Mus musculus: one gene and its partners. The protein of the gene in region 1 interacts with the protein of each later gene in a biochemical or structural test. Links are inferred from orthologs where the notes say so. Each region holds a gene or a part of one and is shown in the gene's direction. Other genes may lie near its edges.

Region 1 (3,515 bases):
AGGAAGCTGGAATAGGGTTGCTGTCAGCCTCAAGCTGCTGCTCAGATGGCATCAAGCCAACTGCTTAGAAGTGATTGGTCACCCTTGCTTATCTTTCTGTGGCTTCCAGTGAGCTGGATACAACCCAGGAGGAATGATCCCAGGTGCAGGATTCTTTTCTGTCCAATCATTCTACCTGGCAAGCATTGTGCTCACACATGCAAACCTCATGACCCCAGTGCTGATTCTTTTGTTCTTTGCTCATGGCAGCAAAAACCCGGGCGGCTGACCTGTTGGTGAACCCTCTGGATCCACGGAATGCAGATAAAATTAGAGTAAAAATTGCTGACCTGGGAAATGCTTGTTGGGTGGTAAGTAGTGTTTTCTTTTTACATTTTAATTGTTATTTAGTGTGCGAAGATGCTTTTGTTTTTTTTTAATATTTATCACATCTATTCCTTTCCAGCATAAACATTTCACAGAGGATATCCAGACACGTCAGTATAGGTCCATAGAGGTTTTAATAGGAGCAGGCTACAGCACACCTGCAGACATTTGGAGTACAGCTTGCATGGTAAGAACGGCCTTTGCCACTCTCTTCTCTAGAAATGGCTTCTCCTTAATGCTCTCAATGAGGTGGCGTCTTGTTAGAGATCATCCTTCACTTTAAAATGGGTGAGAAGAGGAAAATGTGCCTGGGTCTTTAAGCATTGGGAGAATTCTCCGGTATGTATGTCTTGTGAGACATGGTCTCTTCAGGCCCTGTGCAGACCATTGTCCCAAGAGTGAGATCCATCTGAGGAGTTACCTTTAGTCTCTGGAAACGTGTGGGTGTTTTAGGCTCCTTGTCACACCATGGGGTAAAATCAGATGCCTTCTCCCAGGAGAGGGTGGCAGCACTTGTCACTTAGCAGCACTGTCATGTGGCCGTTACATGTGCAGGCTCTCTGTTCTCCTTCCTACTTAGAAGGGATTTCTCCATCTGCCCATGCACAGTTGCCTCCATCCAGCGCAGTCACAGTGTGCTGGCTGCTTTTGCAGCGTGTGCCAGCACTGCTGAGACAACAGTGGGGACACAAGCTTCCTGGGCTTGAATCTGGTTTTCTTTTCTTTTCTTTTCTTTTCTTTTCTTTTCTTTTCTTTTCTTTTCTTTTCTTTTCTTTTCTTTTCTTTTCTTTTCTTTTCTTTTCTTTTCTTTTCTTTTCTTTTCTTTTCTTTCCTCCCTCCCTTCCCCTCCCTCCCTTCCCCTCCCTCCCTTCCCTTCCCCTCCCTCCCTTCCCTCCCCTCCCTTCCTTCCCCTCCCTCCCTCCCCCCCTCCCCTCTCTTTTTTCTTTTTTCCGAGACAGGGTTTCCCTGTGTAGCCCTGGCTGTCCTGGAACTCACTCTATAGACCAGGCTGGCCTCGAACTCAGAAATCTGCCTGCCTCTGCCTCCCAAGTGTTGGGATTAAAGGCGTGTGCCACCATAGCCCGGCTTGAGTCTGTTTTTCGAGGATCATTAGTGGTGCTTTCCTGACAGACAGCAGGAGGAGGAACATCCCTTTGTATCTCTGCCTTTCCAGTGCTGATTTTGCAAGCATGTGCTGCAGTCTGTCCCTTACCTTCTTATATGAGTTCTTCAGATCAGACTCACAGGCTTCCATGGCAGACACTGCCCTGAGCCATCTTTCAGCCCAGTCTTTTTATTTGTTTCTTTTTTGAAATGTAGCCCAAGCTGGTCTTGAAACTCAGCCTCCTGAGTGCTGAGATTACAGGCATGGCCATTATACCCGGCTTAGTGCATCTTCTTGTCATCTCTGCTAAACTGTGAATTGGTAAGCATGAGTAGCCTCACACTCCAGAGCCAGTCCCAGGGGTCTTCACTGTGAATAGCAGCCAGCTGAGCACATTCTTCTCAGTGGGTTCTGTTGTTCTTTGATGGAAAAGGTGGCATGTGTGTGCACGTAGCTTCTGCTGCTGCCATAGTTATTCGACTTGGTCTTTCTTTATTTTATTGTAGTTGTAGGGCAGAACCCAGAGGTTCACCAGGCAAGTGTTTTTCCAATTGAGTCACATCTTCAGATCTTGTATTAATTTGTATAGAATTTTTCTTTGGATATCTAAATGAAAGGGCTCCGGTTCAAGGCCTCCCCCCTCTCCCTCCCTCCTCCCCTTCCTTCCTCTCTCTTTCTCTCTCTGCTTTCTTCTTTCTTCTCTTTCTCATTCTCTTTCTCTTTCTTTCTCTTTCTCTCTCTTTCTCTTTCTCTTCCCTCCCTCCCTCCCTCCCTCCCTCTCTCTCTCTTTTCTTTCCTTTCCCTTTCTTTCTTTCTTTCTTTCTTTCTTTCTTTCTTTCTTTCTTTCTTTCTTTCTTTCTTTCTTTTCTTTCTTTCTTTCTTTCTTTTCTTTCTTTCTTTCTTTCTTTCTTTCTTTCTTTCTTTCTTTCTTTCTTTCTTTCTTTCTTTCTTTCTTTCTTTCTTTCTTTCTTTCCTTCCTTCCTTCCTTCCTTCCTTCCTTCCTTCCTTCCTTCCTTCCTTCCTTCCTTCCTTCCTTCCTTTCTTTCTTTCTTTCTTTCTTTCTTTCTTTCTTTCTTTCTTTCTTTCTTTCTTTCAGGATTTAATTATTTTATGTCAGTACACTGTCTCTGTCTTCAGACACACCAAAAGAGGGCATCAGATACCATTACAGATGGTTGTGAGACACCATGTGGTTGCTGGGAATTGAACTCAGGACCTCTCAGCACTCAGTGAGTGCTTTTAACTGCTGAGTCATCTCTCCAGCCCCCTTCATTCTTTTTTTTACAAATAGTTTCATTGATAGCCTTTTTTAAACACTACATTGGAAACCCAAGTGCTGTTCAAAATAATTATCTTTGAAAGAACACATATCTGATGATTTCACTGTAGAACAATGAGAAGTAGCTGTAATGAGAAGGATGAACACAAGACTAAAGAGGGGCGAGCACACAGCCAGGCTATCCTTGGAACCGAGCCTCTGTTGCGCCCAACTTCTCTTTCATCCTATCAGGGATTCCAGATATGCCTCTTGGCTTGCAGATTATTGAATTGTTTTACAGACACAAAACATTCTCATCTACTTGGAATTTGAGCCAGATTTGTCTTTCCATTATCAGAGATTGGTCCAGCTTCTACGATTACGTGTTAACTGGCTATTAAATGTTACTTGGGTAGCTAGTAGAGAGTCCCAACCTGGGGTGCCTTGTTGCATCTACAGTGCTGGGTGGTCAGGCTGTCTTCTGCTGAGATGCTGTGCTCTGTCAGACCCAAGTCTGCTTTAGGACAGGGGCCCTGATTTTATAATCATCACATAGGCAGCTGATCACAGTTTTGCTGTGTTGTTTTTCTCCAACACATGTAAGTACCCATCATATCTTTAAAAATAAAGGATATGACTGCCCTGTTAGTTAAAGAGAGCTGCTTCCCAGTAAATGCCTCTCAAGGCGTGTTCTCACACTCTGGCCTGGCCGTTAAGAGGAGGAAAGAGAAGACTAATGCCAGGGCGGCACTCAGTGATGCCTCTTCAGCAGGAGTGGGAAACCGT
Region 2 (4,315 bases), on another chromosome or scaffold:
TCATTCCAGAATAATTCAGTAATTAAGCTCATATGGGAAAAAATGTTTGTGGTGCTAGAAAACTGAACCCAAAGTTATCTCAAAATTTTATTTTGGGGGCTGGAGAGGTGGCTCAGGGGTTAAGAGCACTGACTGCTCTTCTGAAGGTCCTGAGTTCAGATCCCAGCAACCACATGGTGGCTCACAACCATCCACCCCCCCAGCCCAGAAGTGTGTTTGTTTGTTTGTTTGTTGACTCACTTTCACCCTGTAATACAATTCAGGCTGGCTTGGATTCTGCTATATAGCCCAGGCTGATCTTGAACAAGTCTCAGCCTATCTGAATGCTGGGATTACAGATGTGAGCCAACACACCGAGCAGGTACAACGTTGGAGTTTTAGAAACAACTGCTGGGATAGCAGTGCACACCTTTAATCTCAGCACTCTAGAGGCAGAGGCAGGCAGGGGATCTCTGTGAGCTCCAAGCCAGCCAGGGCAACATAGTGAGAACCTGCCTTGAAAAATAAAGAAAAAACGGCATGCAAATGAAAGCTTCAAGACAAGTTTTCGCCTCTTTGGCAAGAAGTAGGTGCCTGTCTCTCTTCCTTGCATTTGAACAGGCTCCAGCTGTCCAAGAGAATTGAGCTTTGGGGAGGTAAGATATTAAGCTAAAGCCACAGCCCACGCCTACGTAGCTGGAAGGAGAACTAATGACCAATTTCAACCGGAAGCTTGACATCCAGCAGGTGGCCATCTCCAGCAGGCACCTTAAAAATTCAGCTCTCACGCTGTACAAAGGTGTTTCAATAAACGAGATAAAAATAACTCTGTGAAAATGCCTTGCAGTGTGTGTGGTAAGCATCATTAGAACTTACCTATTTAAAGATTTTTCTTCGCTAGGGTCACAGTCAAGATACCTAATGGGTTTGAATGCTCCTTGATTTAAAAACAATTGTTTTTCCACGAAAACGCTAAAGTGTATTACGGTCAAGTTAATCTGTTTCGAGAAGATTTGTCAAGGAAATCATTCACTTTGGCCATTAACAAAAACAGGTGGAAAGAAAGCAAGCGAACAGCTGGCCCTGGAAATAGAAAGTGCGCTCTATCTGGAGGGCCACATTTTAGGAGACTCGGGGAGCCTGTAGCACTTGGGGTTCACGGTGTACCGCCTGGAGAGCCAGCGAGGGTGAACTGAAAAGCGGACGATGACCGACACACCGCTCTGCCTGGACCCCGCGGGGACCGAGGGAGGGGACCCCTGGACTAGACAAAGGCTGCAGCCCCGGGAGGCCGGGTGCGCGTGCGCCACGGAATGCGCGTGCGCGCGGCGGTCAGCACCGCGGCCCGAGGCGTGGCGGGACCCGGGGAGGGAAGCGCGGAGAGGGGCGAGCCGAGCGGCGCGGAGAGAGGAGGGTTGAGGGGCGCTCGCGTGCGCCCCCTAGCGGTCGGAAGGGGAGGTGCCCGCCCAGGCCTCGCTGCCCGCCCCTCCCCTAGGGAGGTTCGCGCTCCCGTGGCTCGCGCCTGCGCTGCCCGCCGGCCTCCAGAACGCGCTTTCTCGGCCGCGCGCGCTCTCAGTCTCCGCCACCCACCAGCTCCAGCACCAGCAGCAGCGCCGCCGCCACCGCCCACCTTCTGCCGCCGCCGCCACAACCACCTTCTCCTCCGCTGTCCTCTTCTGTCCTCGCCTTCTGTCGATTATCAGGTAAGCGCCGCAGCTCTGAAATCCAGTCCCCTCTGGCCCTGTGCGCCGTCCTCCTGCCACCCCTCGCCCCAGAGATGGATTTAGGGAGCTGGGCATCAATCAGGCGCAACGGCGGGGGCCTCTCTGCGCCCTAGGCGCTGGGGAGCTGGGAAGGAACGCGTGCAAGAGATGCACGCACGCGAGCGAATGCGTGTATCTATGAGTGCTGGGGTCCCCACTATCGGCTCCGCGCAAATGAGGGGGGCTGTGCCCGCAGGGTGGGGCGCGGATGACGGTGACCTAGGGAAGGGGTTGTTCTGTAATCTGGATCTCAGCCTTTTGCCGCAATGGGCGTGGGTCTGTGAGTGTGCATGGGGGTCCAACGACGACCCCCGAAACAGAACCTGAAATCGGATTTCTCTGCTCCTGATTGCCATCAGCCCTAAGGAAGGTGTGGATCGGGTTCTAGAAAAGATGACTGCCTTCATGTCTCTCCACCTCCCTGACAGCGATTCTGACACGGCCTTCACTGGCCCTGATTTAAGGCGGTGGCCCGCCCCCTCCCCTTTTCCTCCTTCAGAAGCCGGCAGGGGACATTTGGGGGCTGGGAGGAATCCGGAGGATGGGGAGGGGTCCAGGCGCTGTCACGTTAGTCGCCCTTCCCCCTGCGCGCGCTTGGTACAGTGACAGGGGCAGCGCCGTGCCCGAGAGAAGGTAGTGCGCGGATCCCAATGTGGGAGCTCGAAGAGTCAGGGGTCACCTGGCCTCGCGGTGTCAGCGGGCTGGCTGGCAGCGGCTCCCCGCTCGAGGGCGCGCAGCGTTGCAGCCAGGCACAGACCCACGCGAGGGCTGCAGGTGCATTTCGGGGCGCGTTTCTTTCTCTGCGTTCTGCGCCGGGCTCCCGGCATGTGCGCTCCCTGCCGGAGGCGCGGGCTGGCGCGCAGGGCTCGCCCCTCACTGCGGCAGTGGGTGTGGACCTGGGTGGGCGAGGAGGGGGGAGTACGATGTGTCTCCTCCCGCTGCCACCCCTCTCCGTTTTTTCCCCCCTCTCTGAACGCGAGGTGCCATCTTTTTGCGGCGAGTCACGTCTCTATCGTAGCATGCCAAGAGCTGTGGCCAGGCTTTGGAGGACCCGGCTTGGACCCATGTTAAAGAACAGGGGGTGATGAACACGGAAGCCTTGGCGTTTTGCCTCTGCAGCGGTGCGCACCAGAGCGTTCACCTGAGGTCGTCTAGGGGAGCTCGCTGCTTTGTTCGTCGTGTGATTTAGGATCTGCGCTCCCAGCCCTGGTTTTTTGGGGGAGTGTGCGGGGGGAGGCGGGAAGCTTTCATTCGACGAGGATATTTGCCTACGCACTCGGAGCAGCTCCATCCTTTTTTCGCCACTCTTTTCAGACCCTTTGTTGGATCTACAGACTTGCGGCAGCCCACTCCCCAGTTCGACCCAGAGCCACATGGGTGGGATTCGAGATAGACTCTCGTGTGCAGGAGCCCTCAGAGGAAGCACATCCCTCCCCACACCCAGGCCATCCTGAGGACCACACCCCACTTGTGTTTCACTGCTAGGGGAGCCAGATAACCCTCGGGAATGGGGAGATTCGGCAAGCTCAACTCCGCATCCCCACCACCACCACCACCGTTGAACCCTGTTGCCTCTCCCGGTGGGAGAGTGTGAGGAGAGGGTATGAGATCCCCTGGGATACTGCGGCCACACCCATCCCTCCCAACCCAAGGAGAGAGGGTTAAGGGTTGCCATAGGAACCACACCAGCCAGAGGAGGAACCTCTGGGCGTTACCTCACCCCCTACCTCCCACCCCCTACCTCCCACCCCCCCCCTTACTCCGCGGAGATTTAGAATCCTGGGGTAGTCTGATAGTGCCTGGAAGACACGAGGAAGGGGCCCCTCATCCCTGATGCGAGCATCATTCTCTTGGCACTGGCAACCATAGCCATCCAGAGAGAGAGAGAGAGAGATGCCTCTAATGTATTTTATTATAAGCGTGCTGACTGATATTATTTTATTAATATCATTTAAATGAGGGACTTTCATTTTTAAAAAAATCCACATCTACAACAGCCCTTGAAACCAGAGAGGGATAGAAAGCTAAGAGGTCCCAGCCTCCCCACCGTACAGTAAGCTCGGTCTTCGAGGTTTTCTGGTTAATTTTACCGCTGAATACTGGTGCGGGTAAGCAGTTTTGAGACCGATGGATGAGCTTCTTAAGGGCCGAATTGCCCACGTCGACTGCTCACTCAGATTGATGTAGGCTGGGGGTGGAACGCCCTCTCCCGATCAAACCGCGGCCTGAGGCTGTGGCATCGTGGCCGGGCCCGCCTGGCAGAAATTTCGCGAGCATCTGAAAGATAGGTTCAAATACTACCCATCCCTCGCCACACGACGGGCTGCTGGGAACAGGATTCTTAAGCTAGAAGAAGCCAGGCTCTTGGGCTGGATGCGGAAAGGGGAAGGCTGGGAGGGGGGGCTGACTATAGCGGGCCCGTTGGGCAAAGGTGTCACAGCGGAAAAATCAGCGGGAGGGGGAGGAGACAGAACGTTTTACCCAGTGCAGAAACAAAGCTCAGATCACAGCGTCTTCGAACTCCCATTTTGCACTGTGTTGAGGGGTCGAGTGAGGTACTGTGCTGGCCAAGG
Region 3 (3,515 bases), on another chromosome or scaffold:
AGAGGGCAACAGATCCCTAGGAGTTAGAGCCAGTTTTTACTCACATGTGGGCTCTAAAGTTCTAGGTCCCATGGCAGAGCAGCTTACCTGCTGAACTGTCTGTTCAGTCCCATTCTTTCCTTTGTGTTCTCACTGTCCTCTCATCCTCCCTCCCTCAGCATTATTGGTGTGTGTAGAGGTTCTTGACACATTCAAGCTAACTTAAGTTGATGCTGATTTGGTGGTAGAGGTTCTCAGAGCCTCCTGCTTCTGTTGCATATAGGATCAAGCTTGATGAATTGTGCTGATATTATCATAGCACACACCAAATCAAAAGGGAGCTGTTTTCTGGGTACCTACATCTCTACTCCCAACAGCAGGGTGCTATTGCTTTTGGTCTGAGTTAAGTTTCTTTAACTAACATTTCTTACTACAAAGCTTATGGAGAGGCTGTAGGAGGAACAGTTTATGGCTTGGTTTGAAACATTGTGATTTAAGCCCTGTGTCTTAGAAGTTCAGCCCCTTTTCTGTAATTTGTCACCAAATGTAGAAAATGATGGTTAATTTTTTTTTCATGTGTTCTGTTAGCTTTTAACTGAGTAGAATATTGTTTCCTAAAAGCTGTTGCTTCTCCTTATTTTCCCATTTTTTCATTTATTTAGAAAACTGTGGCTGAAAAACAGGAAAAAAGAAATCAGGATCGATTGAGGAGAAGAGAGGAGAGAGAGCGAGAAGAGCGCCTGGGCAGGAGGTAAGCATGGGGGCTAGCCTTAGGAAACTGCTGTTGCTGTTTTGTGACTTGGAGCCATCAGTGTTTGAAACATATAAAAGCATGCATTTATTTATTTTGAAGCAGGGTCTTACTAATGTAATCCGGACTGGCCTAGAATTTACAGATATGTGCCTGCTTTTGCTTTCCAAGGGCTGAGATTAGGGTATATGCCATCACACCTGGCTCCAGTGTAGCCTTTAAAAGCAAAACCTATGACATATTCACTGTGGTGAGGTGCAACACTGACTGATTGGAACTAGGGAAGGAGGAGCTGACAAGGGTCCCCTCTCCCTTTTCCTCTTACCCCCTCTGTCCGTGTGTCCCTCTCTACCCCCTACAGTTGCCCTGTATAGCTCCAGCTGTCCTGGGACTTGTTCTGTAGACCCCTGGCTGCCCTCAAACTCAGATCCACTTGACTCTGCCTCCTAAGGACTGGGATTAAAGGTCTGTCCCACTGCTACCCAGCCATCTTTTAACCTCACCCAGACAGCTCCTCTGACAGCTGGCCATGGAGCCCTTATCAAATAGGGAAGGCAAAAGTGGATCTACTAATGGTAGCTAAGCAGCAGTCTCATGGCAGTGCCTTGAAGGGAAATCATCAGCTTTGGACTTGAGGGTGGAAGCTTTGTATGGCTGTCTTTTTTCTTTTTAATTGGTTATGTGGGATCACTGGACAGACTCCCATAAAATATGTGGTTGGAATATGTTCTTGCCCATTGAGAAGCAAAATGTAAGGTGTTTGGCAAAAGCCTCCACACCAGTGAGGCACTAACGGGAGTTAAGAGGCAGGAAGAGTGTGGGTGATAAGGTCTGGGGTAGGCGGTCTGGAGTAGAACTGACTGGACTTGGTGACTGTTTAGGAAGGAATGAAGTTGGCCTCACGGTTTCTTTTCTTCTTGGTCTTTTGATACAGTGTTTTTCTGTATATCCCATGCTATTGTGGAACTAGCCTTGTAGATCAGGGATCTGATTGTCTCTGCTTCTCCATGCTGGGATTAAAGCATGTATTATCATGCCTACCTGGCCTTTCTGGTTTCTTTTTTTTTTTTTTTTTTTTTTGGTTTTTCAAGACAGGGTTTCTCTGTATAGCCCTGGCTGTCCTGGAACTCACTTTGTAGACCAAGCTGGCCTTGAACTCAGAAATCCGCCTGCCTCTGCCTCCCGAGTGCTGGGATTAAAGGCGTGCGCCACCACGCCCGGCTTGCCTTTCTGGTTTCTGATCTGGAGTTGTTCCTTACCTAGAACAGGGAGGGTGGAACCAGGAATAGGAGTTAGAATTTGCTGTATTCAGCCGGGCGTGGTGGCGCACACCTTTAATCCAGAGGCAGGCGGATTTCTGAGTTCGAGGCCAGCCTAGTCTGCAAAGTGAGCTCCAGGACAGCCAGAGCTATACAGAGAAACCCTGTCTCGAAAAAACAAAAACAAAACCAAAACAAACAAACAAACAAAAAAAAACAACAAAAAAAAGAATTTGGCTGTATTCAATTTGAGATGCCTGAGAAGTACTCCGATAAATATTTGGGATTAATTTCAAAGAAAAGATCAGAGCCAGACTCATCTATGCACTCTTGAAGCATCTCACTAAGTTGCCTTAGCTGGCTTCAGATTCACGGAGATCCATTTGCCTTTGTCTCTTAGATGGATTAACATTTTTCATCTATTTATCTTTCTGTTTAGGTCTGGATCAAGAACCCGAGATCGCAGAAGGTAGGTTTCAAGATCTATCACAGGGCTCTCAGGTTGAGTGCCTTTTTCTGTAAAAACATTTAACTGATGTTCACAGCCTCACAAGACTGTTTTGTGAAGAGTATAGATGTTAGGGTTTAGCACAGTAGAAAGATACCACGTGGACTCCCATGCTCTCACACATACGCTGCCACTGCTGGGGTGAGGGGAGACCCCGTTGAAGAGCAACTAGGAATGTCCAAGTCCTTTTTTGTTTTTGGGTTGGTGGTGGTTGGTTTTGTTTTTTGAGATGGGGTTTCTCTGTATAACTTGGCTGTCCTGGAATTCTTATTGAAGAGGCTGGCCTTGAATTTAGAGATCCTCCTGTTTCTGCCTCCCAAGTGCTGATATTAAAGGCATATGCCACCTTACCTGGCCAAGACCTATGTTTTCAAGAAACATTCAGGGGAAAGATACGGCCTTCCGATTAATTCAGGGGACTTTCACTTCCAAATTGTACATTGTAGGAGGAAAAAGGAATCCCAAGAACCCTGAAGGCCAATAGATGCTGAGAGTTGAGGAACGAGGGTGGTTTGATCCCAGTGACATCTTAGCTTTCAAAATCATCTGGGTTTTCCAGGTCACGCTCCCGGGATCGTCGACGGAGGCGGTCTAGGTCTACCTCCAGAGAGCGGCGGAAGTTTTCCCGTTCCAGATCCCGAGATAGATACAGGCGCCATCGCAGCCGTTCCCGGAGCCACAGCCGGGGTCACCGCCGGGCTTCCAGGGACCGGAGTACAAAATACAAGTAACTACTCTGACTCCTCAGTAACTTCAACCAGGAGTGAGCCCTTTGTCTCTGTGTTCCCAAGATCTGCTAAGATCTGTCATCCTTGCCTTTTGGCCATTACATCTGGTAGGGACAAGGTTGGGCTTGTGGGGATGCAGGTTCTGGGTGACTAGCACCCAGTGTTGGTGCCCCGAGGAATAGAGAGCGGCACCAGTACAACACTTGGCTGGGATGGGGCAGGGCAGTGAGCTCTCTCACATGGCTCCGCTTTGCTGGGCTTTACCTACTTTAACTTGGTAAAAAGCAGCT
Region 4 (4,262 bases), on another chromosome or scaffold:
TCTAATCTTCAAGTAGCTTATAAATTTAGAATTCAAGTTTTGGGGAAGGGCATTCTTATCACCTTGTAAAATGTCCTGTTTTAAAACACATTCTCTACTCAGTCTTAGAAGATGTAAATACCAAAATCTTTCTCATCTCTCCTAGGTACATTTTTGGGAAGACTGCAAAAAGCCTATTTCCTCTCACCAGGAGGTAAACGCTAGTGGGATAGACTACGCATCTAATCTCATGATCACCAGTATTACATAAGCTTAAGAGATTCAGGTGCATGGGGTCGCAGAGGTGGGAGACGGGAGGCGTTTAGACGGGAATCACGGTTAAAGGAGTCAAAGGAAGTGGATATAGGAGGGAGCAAGGTGGCCATGTTACTGGGTCCTACTATGGATTAATCGGAGTGCTGGAGTCCTAGAAACGAGATAAATGTAGTGTCCGCACAGTGAGAAGTGTGACACATTAAAGCAAAGCACAGCTATATTATGTCTCACACATCTTTTATAAATGCAAACCTTACAGGGATTCACAACATAAAGCAGGAAGCAAAAATCTGCAAGTGGTCCTGCAGGTCGGACCAGTAAGTGGGCTTGCAGGACACTGCGGGCCCTAAGGCGGCCACTGAGACTGGCCAGGGCTCCGCGGCGCTGTTCCCTGTGTCCGCGGGCGGGCAGTGACTCGGTACCGCCCAGGGCGTCAGCGTGACCCGAGGCTCTGTGAACCCTGAACTCACCGCCCCAGCGGGCCGCACAGACCGGGGCAGGCGTTTTCTCGCGCACGGGGGTGGGGCTTTTTCAGGCAGCTAACTAAGATGGTGTCGGCTGGACTGTCCGGGACAGCTGCCTAGGCGGATCGAGTGAGGGCCAGCAGCCGGAAGGACCACCGAGCCCATTGTCCCGCCCAGACAGGACAGTGAGGAGCCCGCAAGTTCCAGACTCGAAGGACCGAAGCACAGGCAAGTACGCCGTAAGGACCTAACAAATGTTTAAGAGAACGCCGAAAGCGCGGGGAGGCGGGCCTGACTCACTGTCACCATCTCGCGACAGCAAAGTGACGTCGCACAGCAAGCGCGTGGTCTTAGTCTTTCACCTTCAGACGCCTCAGTTTATGGGCCTACTCCTTTAAGTGAGTGATGGACAGCGCTTTTATCCAATCATGTTCCTCGTCAACATCCAATCAGATTTAAACTTTCTTCAGCCGCCGGAGAAGTTGGAAGACTGGGGTCGAAAGAGAGCGAGCGAGTGAGCGAGTGAGCGAGCGAGCTCTTTGTCTCTCGCGAGATCGGAGAGAGCCAAATTCTCAGGAAAAAACGCCTGAACTGATGTCCAGACTTCCCGATAGTGATTTAAAAGACGTGGCCACAAACCAATGAAAGGGAAGAGAAGGTGGGATCGCTGCGTTCGCCGTGCTAGAAGTACCGTTACAGGGCAGAGTTTTTGTCCAATCAACGCTTCTAGGCTTTGGGTCAGGTGACCATGAAGTGCGAGGGGCGGAGCTACAGCCTGGCGCGAGGAACCGTTAAGATAGACAACGAATATAACCAATGAGGTACTGGGATTAGGGCGTTGGGAACCCAATAACAGCGTCGGGGCGGGCGCCTTCCCGGAGCGCGGGGAGATGTAAAGACGGACAAATAGTTTTTCCAATGAGAAGGCTGAAGAGTGAATTAATTGACCAATGAGGTCTGCGGGGCGGGAGCCTTTGCCGCGGCGGAGTCCAAGATGGCGGCGTGCGAGTCCGCTGTGTGAAACGAGCGCGGGGTGGCGGGTTAGTCAGCTCCGCAGAGACGACCTCCGGCGACCCTCAACAATGAAAGGAAAGGAGCGCTCGCCGGTCAAGCCCAAGCGCTCCCGTGGCGGTGAGGACTCCAGTTCTCGTGGGGAGCGGAGCAAGAAGTTAGGGGGCTCCGGCGGCAGCAATGGGAGCAGCAGCGGGAAGACGGACAGCGGCGGGTCGCGGCGGAGCCTTCATCTGGACAAGTCCAGCAGCCGGGGCGGCAGCCGCGAGTACGAGACCGGCGGGGGCAGCTCCAGTAGCCGCTTGCACAGTTACAGCTCCCCGAGCACCAAAAATTCCTCAGGCGGGGGCGAGTCGCGCAGCAGCTCCCGGGGTGGAGGCGGGGAGTCACGTTCCTCCGGGGCCGCCTCCTCCGCGCCCGGCGGCGGGGACGGCGTGGAGTACAAGACCCTGAAGATCAGCGAGCTGGGGTCCCAGCTGAGCGACGAGGCGGTGGAGGACGGGCTGTTTCACGAGTTCAAACGCTTCGGTGATGTAAGTGTCAAAATCAGTCACCTCTCAGGTTCTGGCAGCGGGGATGAGCGGGTAGCCTTTGTGAACTTCCGGAGGCCAGAGGACGCGAGGGCGGCCAAGCATGCCAGAGGCCGCCTGGTGCTCTATGACCGGCCTCTGAAGATAGAAGCCGTGTACGTGAGCCGGCGCCGCAGCCGCTCCCCGTTAGACAAAGATGCTTACGCCCCGTCATCCAGCGTGGTCGGGACCTCAGTCGGTAGCCACCGGCACGCCCCTGGAGGAGGGGGAGGTCAGAGGTCGCTTTCCCCTGGAGGTGCTGCTCTGGGATACAGAGACTACCGGTTGCAGCAGTTGGCCCTGGGCCGCCTGCCTCCTCCACCCCCGCCACCATTGCCCCGAGAGCTGGAAAGAGAACGAGACTATCCGTTCTATGACCGGGTGCGCCCGGCCTACAGCCTGGAGCCGAGGGTGGGAGCTGGAGCAGGTGCGGCTCCTTTCCGAGAAGTGGATGAGATATCACCTGAGGACGATCAGCGTGCCAACCGGACACTTTTCTTGGGCAACTTAGATATCACTGTGACGGAAAATGATCTCAGAAGGGCTTTTGATCGTTTTGGAGTCATCACAGAAGTGGACATTAAGAGGCCTTCTCGAGGCCAGACCAGTACCTATGGCTTTCTCAAATTTGAGAATCTAGACATGTCTCACAGGGCCAAACTTGCAATGTCTGGCAAAATTATAATTCGGAATCCAATCAAGATTGGTTATGGTAAAGCCACACCCACTACCCGACTTTGGGTGGGTGGTCTGGGACCCTGGGTGCCTCTTGCTGCCCTGGCACGAGAATTTGACCGATTTGGCACCATTCGAACCATAGACTACCGTAAAGGTGACAGTTGGGCATATATACAGTATGAAAGTTTGGATGCAGCTCATGCTGCCTGGACCCATATGCGTGGATTCCCACTTGGTGGCCCAGATCGTCGCCTCAGGGTAGACTTTGCAGACACAGAACATCGTTACCAGCAGCAATATCTTCAGCCTCTGCCCTTGACCCACTATGAACTAGTGACGGATACTTTTGGACATAGAGCACCTGACCCTTTGAGGAGTGCTCGGGACAGGACACCACCCTTACTATACAGAGATCGTGATAGGGACCTTTATACTGATTCTGACTGGGTGCCACCCCCACCACCGGTTCGAGAACGCAGTGCTCGGGCTGCAACTAGTGCTGTCACTGCTTATGAGCCACTAGATAGCTTGGATCGAAGGAGGGATGGCTGGTCACTGGACAGGGACAGAGGTGATCGGGACTTGCCCAGCAGCAGGGACCAGCCAAGGAAGCGAAGGCTGCCTGAGGAAAGTGGAGGACGGCATCTTGATAGATCACCTGAGAGTGAACGGCCTCGAAAACAGCGTCACTGCACTCCTTCTCCTGACCGAAGTCCAGAACTGAGCAGTAACAGAGATCGCTACAACAGTGACAATGATCGATCATCTCGTCTTCTCCTCTTGGAAAGGTCTTCCCCAGTCAGAGATAGACGGGGCAGTTTGGAGAAGAGCCAGAGCGACAAGCGAGACCGTAAAAACTCTGCATCAGCTGAACGGGATAGGAAGCATCGGACAGCTGCTCCCACAGAGGGAAAAAACCCTCTGAAAAAGGAAGACCGATCTGATGGCAATGCACCCAGTGCCAGCACTTCTTCATCAAAGCAGAAGCCACCTTCCCAGAAACAGGATGGAGGGACAGCTCCTGTGGCAGCATCCTCTCCCAAACTCTGTTTGGCTTGGCAGGGCATGCTTCTACTGAAGAACAGCAACTTCCCTTCCAACATGCATCTGTTGCAGGGTGACCTCCAAGTTGCTAGCAGTCTACTTGTGGAGGGCTCAACTGGAGGCAAAGTGGCCCAACTCAAGATCACTCAGCGGCTCCGTTTGGACCAACCCAAGTTGGATGAAGTAACTCGACGCATCAAAGTGGCAGGGCCTAATGGTTATGCCATTCTCCTGGCTGTAC
Region 5 (4,118 bases), on another chromosome or scaffold:
CAGTAATATATACAGCTTCCCAATCAGAGTGGCAGGTCCACCGGACCCATTTCCTAATCCACAAAATGGAAAAATAGTATCTCTTTTTATTCAACCAATATTATTTGAGGCCTGTGTGCTAAGCACTGTTCTAAGATAATCAGACTAAGAGAAAATACGGTATGATAAACCAATGCCCATCCTACTGTAGCCAACTATTGAAACAATGGATTCCAAGAAGTTTGACTTGTCCCCAGAACTTCATCCTGAAGCCAGAGGAACAACTTGTCTATAGGAAGGATTAGCAACAACAGTCTGGAGGAGCCTCTCAGGAGAGGGGGCTGAGATGTGTGTCTATAAGTGTTCCAGGACAAACGGGGCTACAGAGAGAAACTCTGTTTTGAACCCCCCTCCCGCACCTTCCCCAATCTAATTCTGAAAAAACAGGGTGTGGTGGTGCATGCCATTAATTCTAGGGCCTGAGGCAGAGGCAGTCTCTAAATTCGAGACCAGCCTGGTTCTGAGCAAGCTACAGGACAGCCGGCTCTACACAGAAAAATGTCTAAAAACCATTACAGTAGAAAATAATTACGATTATTCGACTTCTATGGAAAACTAAAAAGACCTCGTGACAGGAATCTCACAGCTCAAAGCTTAGAACTCCCAATTTCTCCAATTGTTAAGAGAAGGCTAGACCCAAGAAAGTAGAATACGAGCCATTAGATGTTTTCTCCAGTGATTGGAGATGAAAGCTCACTTAAGGGCAAGCCATGTGGAGAGGAGACGCCAAAGTCCCAGAAAGTGACTTAGAGAAAGTCTGTCTCTGGGCGGAATCACCAGTAAAGCGGAGAGCAACACCAGCTCCGCGGTTCCAGAGGAAAGGTTGCGAGTGCTTTTCAGAAGCAGTGCACGCGGAGAGCCAAAGCCTTAGGCTCCCCACCGAGGGCCGGCGCCACCCGCTTCTCCGAGGTCTCCTTCAGTGCAGGAAGTGTTCCTGGAGCTCCGGGGAGGCGAGAAGGTTTACAGGCTTGCGAGCGGTGCCGGCACCGACGGCCCTAGGTGCACGTGTATGCAGTCCGTGGACAACGACCCGCACTCACCTCGCCGACGCTTTGCAGTCCAGGCACTGGAGTAGCTGGGGGACGCTCGCTCGTCCAGGTCTGGCTCCTCCGGGAGACCACGGCTACAACACGTAGTCCCAGCTCTCAGCTGACTAAGAACTGAAGGCACAGGAGAAAACTTTTCGCGCCACTAACCGAAACCCCGCCCACAGTGTGATTCTGATTGGCGTTTCGGACACTCGCCACGCCCTCCCGGGGGTTCATGACGTACTTCCGCCAATTTGCTTGGGCCCTCTCTGGTGCGGGGTGTGCGTATTCCGGCGAAAGAGTTCTACGCCACAGCTTCCGGTACGAAGCTGGTGGCTTTCCGCGGTCGCAAGGGATTCCTTAATGTTTCCCTAGCCTCCGGTAGTCCTTTTTTTTTTTTCCCTTCTTTTAAATAAATACTGAATGTGACGTATTAAGCAAGCCGACGGAAATAGAATTGAAAGAGTTCTAAAATGGCGAACCGTACAGTGAAGGATGCCCACAGCATCCATGGCACCAACCCTCAGTATCTGGTGGAGAAGATCATCCGGACGCGAATCTATGAATCAAAGTACTGGAAAGAAGAGTGTTTTGGACTTACAGGTGAGCGACAGCGCGCAGCCCGCGTCTCGGCTTACGGGTGGTTTCTTCTGTCTGAGTGAGGAAGGACGGACCCTTTGGGGGTGATACTGGAAGAGTATGTCAACTATTCATATAAACTGCTCTGTGCCTGGACTTGTACTAGACGGGACACAGACAAATCTGACACGATCTTTTTCTCTTTTCTCTTTTTTCTTTTCCGTTTTCCGAGACAGGGTTTCTCTGTAATAGCCCTGGCTGTCCTGGAGAACTGCTGGCTTCGAACTGCCTCTGTCTCCCGAGTGCTGGAATTCAAGGAATACACCAGCACCGCAGGGCTCACCGGTCTTTCCTTCTTTCTTTCTTTCTTTCTTTCTTTCTTTCTTTGGGGGGGGGGGGGGGTGGGCTCCGAGACAGGGTTTCTCTGTAGCCCTGGCTGTCCTATGTCCTGGAACTCACTTTGTAGACCAGGCTGTCCTCGAACTCGAACTCAGAAATCCGCCTGCCTCTGCCTCTGCCTCCCAAGTGCTGGGATTAAAGGCGTGCGCCACCACGTCCTGCTTGACCGGTCTTTCTTTTTTTTGTTTTGTTTTTCGAGACAGGGTTTCTCTATAGCCCTTGCTGTCCTGGAACTCACTTTGTAGACCAGGCTGGCCTCGAACTCAGAAATCCACCTGCCTCTGCCTTCGAGTGCTGGGATTAAAGGTGTGCGCCACTACACCCGGCTTGACCGGTCTTTCTTGATGCTGAAGGATTTCTTTAGTTTTTTTTTTTTTTTTTTGAGCCATTCCATTTTTTTAAATTAATTAATTTATTTGTTTATTTATTTATTGATAGTCTGCTGGGTCCTAGATTGTTTATCTCAGGGACCAGATAAGGGTTCCTTTAATGCAGCTTGAAGATGTTCAAGGAACTTCACCATTCCTATAATAAAATTCTTGCTGTTCTTAAATGGGTCAGTAGTTTCATTTTTGACCTGCTTCCCCTAGTCCTTTAGGTTTCTGTTTTGTTTTGGGGTTTTTTTGTTGTTGTTTTTTTCCCCTGAGACAGGGGGCCTTGGATGGCCTGGAACTCTCTTGAACACACAGAGATTCATCTGCCTTCCCCTTCTGGTCCCTAGGATTAAAGGCATGAGCCACCTCGCTGGCTCCTAAGTTTTTTAGAGTGGCTCTCTGTCAGCTGTCGTAGCTTTGTTCAGCTTCACCTGGTGTGACTCTGGCTGTGGTTCTTGAGCATGTAAAATCACTTAAGCTCTTTTTTGTTCTCATTATCCTTAGCTGGAAGCCAGGACAATGATTATTTGTTTTTTTGTTTTGTTTTAGACAGGGTTTCTCTGTGTAGTCCTGGCCCTGGCTGTCCAGGAACTCACTCTGTAGACCAGGCTGGCCCTGAACTCACAGAGATGTGCCTGCCTCTGTCTCCCGAGTTCCGGCATTAAAGTTGTACACCACCCCAGACCAGCATCTGGTAGTAATAAGAGGACTTTTCCCTCATAATTTGTTGTATAAAGATTGAGGACTCATGAGTCCCACCCTTCCTTGATGGACTAAACAATTAATGGAGACTGGGACGAGGGGTCTGTCTCTCTCTGTAGTGCTGTAGTTCCAGGCATATGTAGCCCTGGCTGTTCTAAAACTCACTCTGCAGACTAGGCTGCCTCAGACCCAGAGATCTGCTTACCTCTGCCTCCTGAGTGCTGGGACTGAGCAATCATCACCATGCTCAGGGTTTTTTGTTTTTTTCCTTTTTAAGGCTGTTATTAATAAGCTCTTGTTCTCTTAATATTAAATTCTTATTGACTATTTAGGAACTCTAAACCTTTAGCTATTTAACCTTCCAACCAAGAAAAACTAAGGCCAAGAAAAACTAAAGCCTTTAATATGTCTAAGATGTATGTCACTTTGTTTTTGGCTGTTTCAGCTGAACTTGTAGTGGACAAAGCCATGGAGTTAAAGTTCGTTGGTGGTGTGTATGGTGGAAACATAAAGCCAACTCCTTTTTTGTGTTTAACCTTGAAAATGCTTCAGATTCAACCTGAGAAGGATATCATTGTTGAGTTCATAAAAAATGAAGATTTCAAGTGAGTATGTTAACAAGTACAACACTTCTAGTGGTTCAGAATTGGCTTTGTTAATAGGACTGTTGTGTTTCATTTCCACACGCTTTTGCCCTTGAACTTGTATTTTGTTTGCTGTGGTAACATAGACCTAACTCCCCCTTCCCCCAAACAGATTTCACAAATTAAATAAGTATACACACATAGTATTTGTACATATGCATACATACACACATACACACAGATTCTCATCAAAGCCATATGTTGGTAGCCATCAGATGTGGGAGTCATACAACATAAGATGTTAGTTGAAAGGTTAGTTCTGTATCTTATTTAGACTTTGTTACCTATTGACTGTGACCCCATAGAATTTCTTTAATTATTTAAAGCCTATCAATGTAGGGTAAACGTAATTA

Evidence for each region.
Region 2: of the proteins of Srpk2 (region 1) and Mapt, one has a biochemical effect on the other in vitro, tested with the Homo sapiens proteins (2 studies listed by BioGRID, with this or other methods). The link is inferred for Mus musculus from reciprocal best matches to the Homo sapiens genes SRPK2 and MAPT.
Region 3: of the proteins of Srpk2 (region 1) and Luc7l, one has a biochemical effect on the other in vitro, tested with the Homo sapiens proteins (2 studies listed by BioGRID and IntAct). The link is inferred for Mus musculus from reciprocal best matches to the Homo sapiens genes SRPK2 and LUC7L.
Region 4: of the proteins of Srpk2 (region 1) and Rbm15, one has a biochemical effect on the other in vitro, tested with the Homo sapiens proteins (2 studies listed by BioGRID and IntAct). The link is inferred for Mus musculus from reciprocal best matches to the Homo sapiens genes SRPK2 and RBM15.
Region 5: of the proteins of Srpk2 (region 1) and Prpf38a, one has a biochemical effect on the other in vitro, tested with the Homo sapiens proteins (2 studies listed by BioGRID and IntAct). The link is inferred for Mus musculus from reciprocal best matches to the Homo sapiens genes SRPK2 and PRPF38A.

What each region holds. Positions count from the first base shown.
Region 1 is NC_000071.6:23,515,454-23,518,968, reverse strand, and holds part of Srpk2 (SRSF protein kinase 2), read left to right. Parts: intron 1-249; coding exon 250-350; intron 351-445; coding exon 446-553; intron 554-3,515. UniProt on the Homo sapiens protein: Serine/arginine-rich protein-specific kinase which specifically phosphorylates its substrates at serine residues located in regions rich in arginine/serine dipeptides, known as RS domains and is involved in the phosphorylation of SR splicing factors and the regulation of splicing.
Region 2 is NC_000077.6:104,229,926-104,234,240, forward strand, and holds the start of Mapt (microtubule-associated protein tau), read left to right. Parts: upstream 1-1,510; 5' UTR 1,511-1,682; intron 1,683-4,315. UniProt on the Homo sapiens protein: Promotes microtubule assembly and stability, and might be involved in the establishment and maintenance of neuronal polarity.
Region 3 is NC_000083.6:26,276,905-26,280,419, forward strand, and holds part of Luc7l (putative RNA-binding protein Luc7-like 1), read left to right. Parts: intron 1-641; coding exon 642-730; intron 731-2,428; coding exon 2,429-2,458; intron 2,459-3,056; coding exon 3,057-3,224; coding exon of another isoform or gene 3,225-3,228; exon of another isoform or gene 3,229-3,515. UniProt on the Homo sapiens protein: May bind to RNA via its Arg/Ser-rich domain.
Region 4 is NC_000069.6:107,330,488-107,334,749, reverse strand, and holds the start of Rbm15 (RNA-binding protein 15), read left to right. Parts: upstream 1-1,460; 5' UTR 1,461-1,669; coding exon 1,670-4,262. UniProt on the Homo sapiens protein: RNA-binding protein that acts as a key regulator of N6-methyladenosine (m6A) methylation of RNAs, thereby regulating different processes, such as hematopoietic cell homeostasis, alternative splicing of mRNAs and X chromosome inactivation mediated by Xist RNA.
Region 5 is NC_000070.6:108,576,537-108,580,654, reverse strand, and holds the start of Prpf38a (pre-mRNA-splicing factor 38A), read left to right. Parts: upstream 1-1,318; 5' UTR 1,319-1,540; coding exon 1,541-1,670; intron 1,671-3,566; coding exon 3,567-3,726; intron 3,727-4,118. UniProt on the Homo sapiens protein: Involved in pre-mRNA splicing as a component of the spliceosome.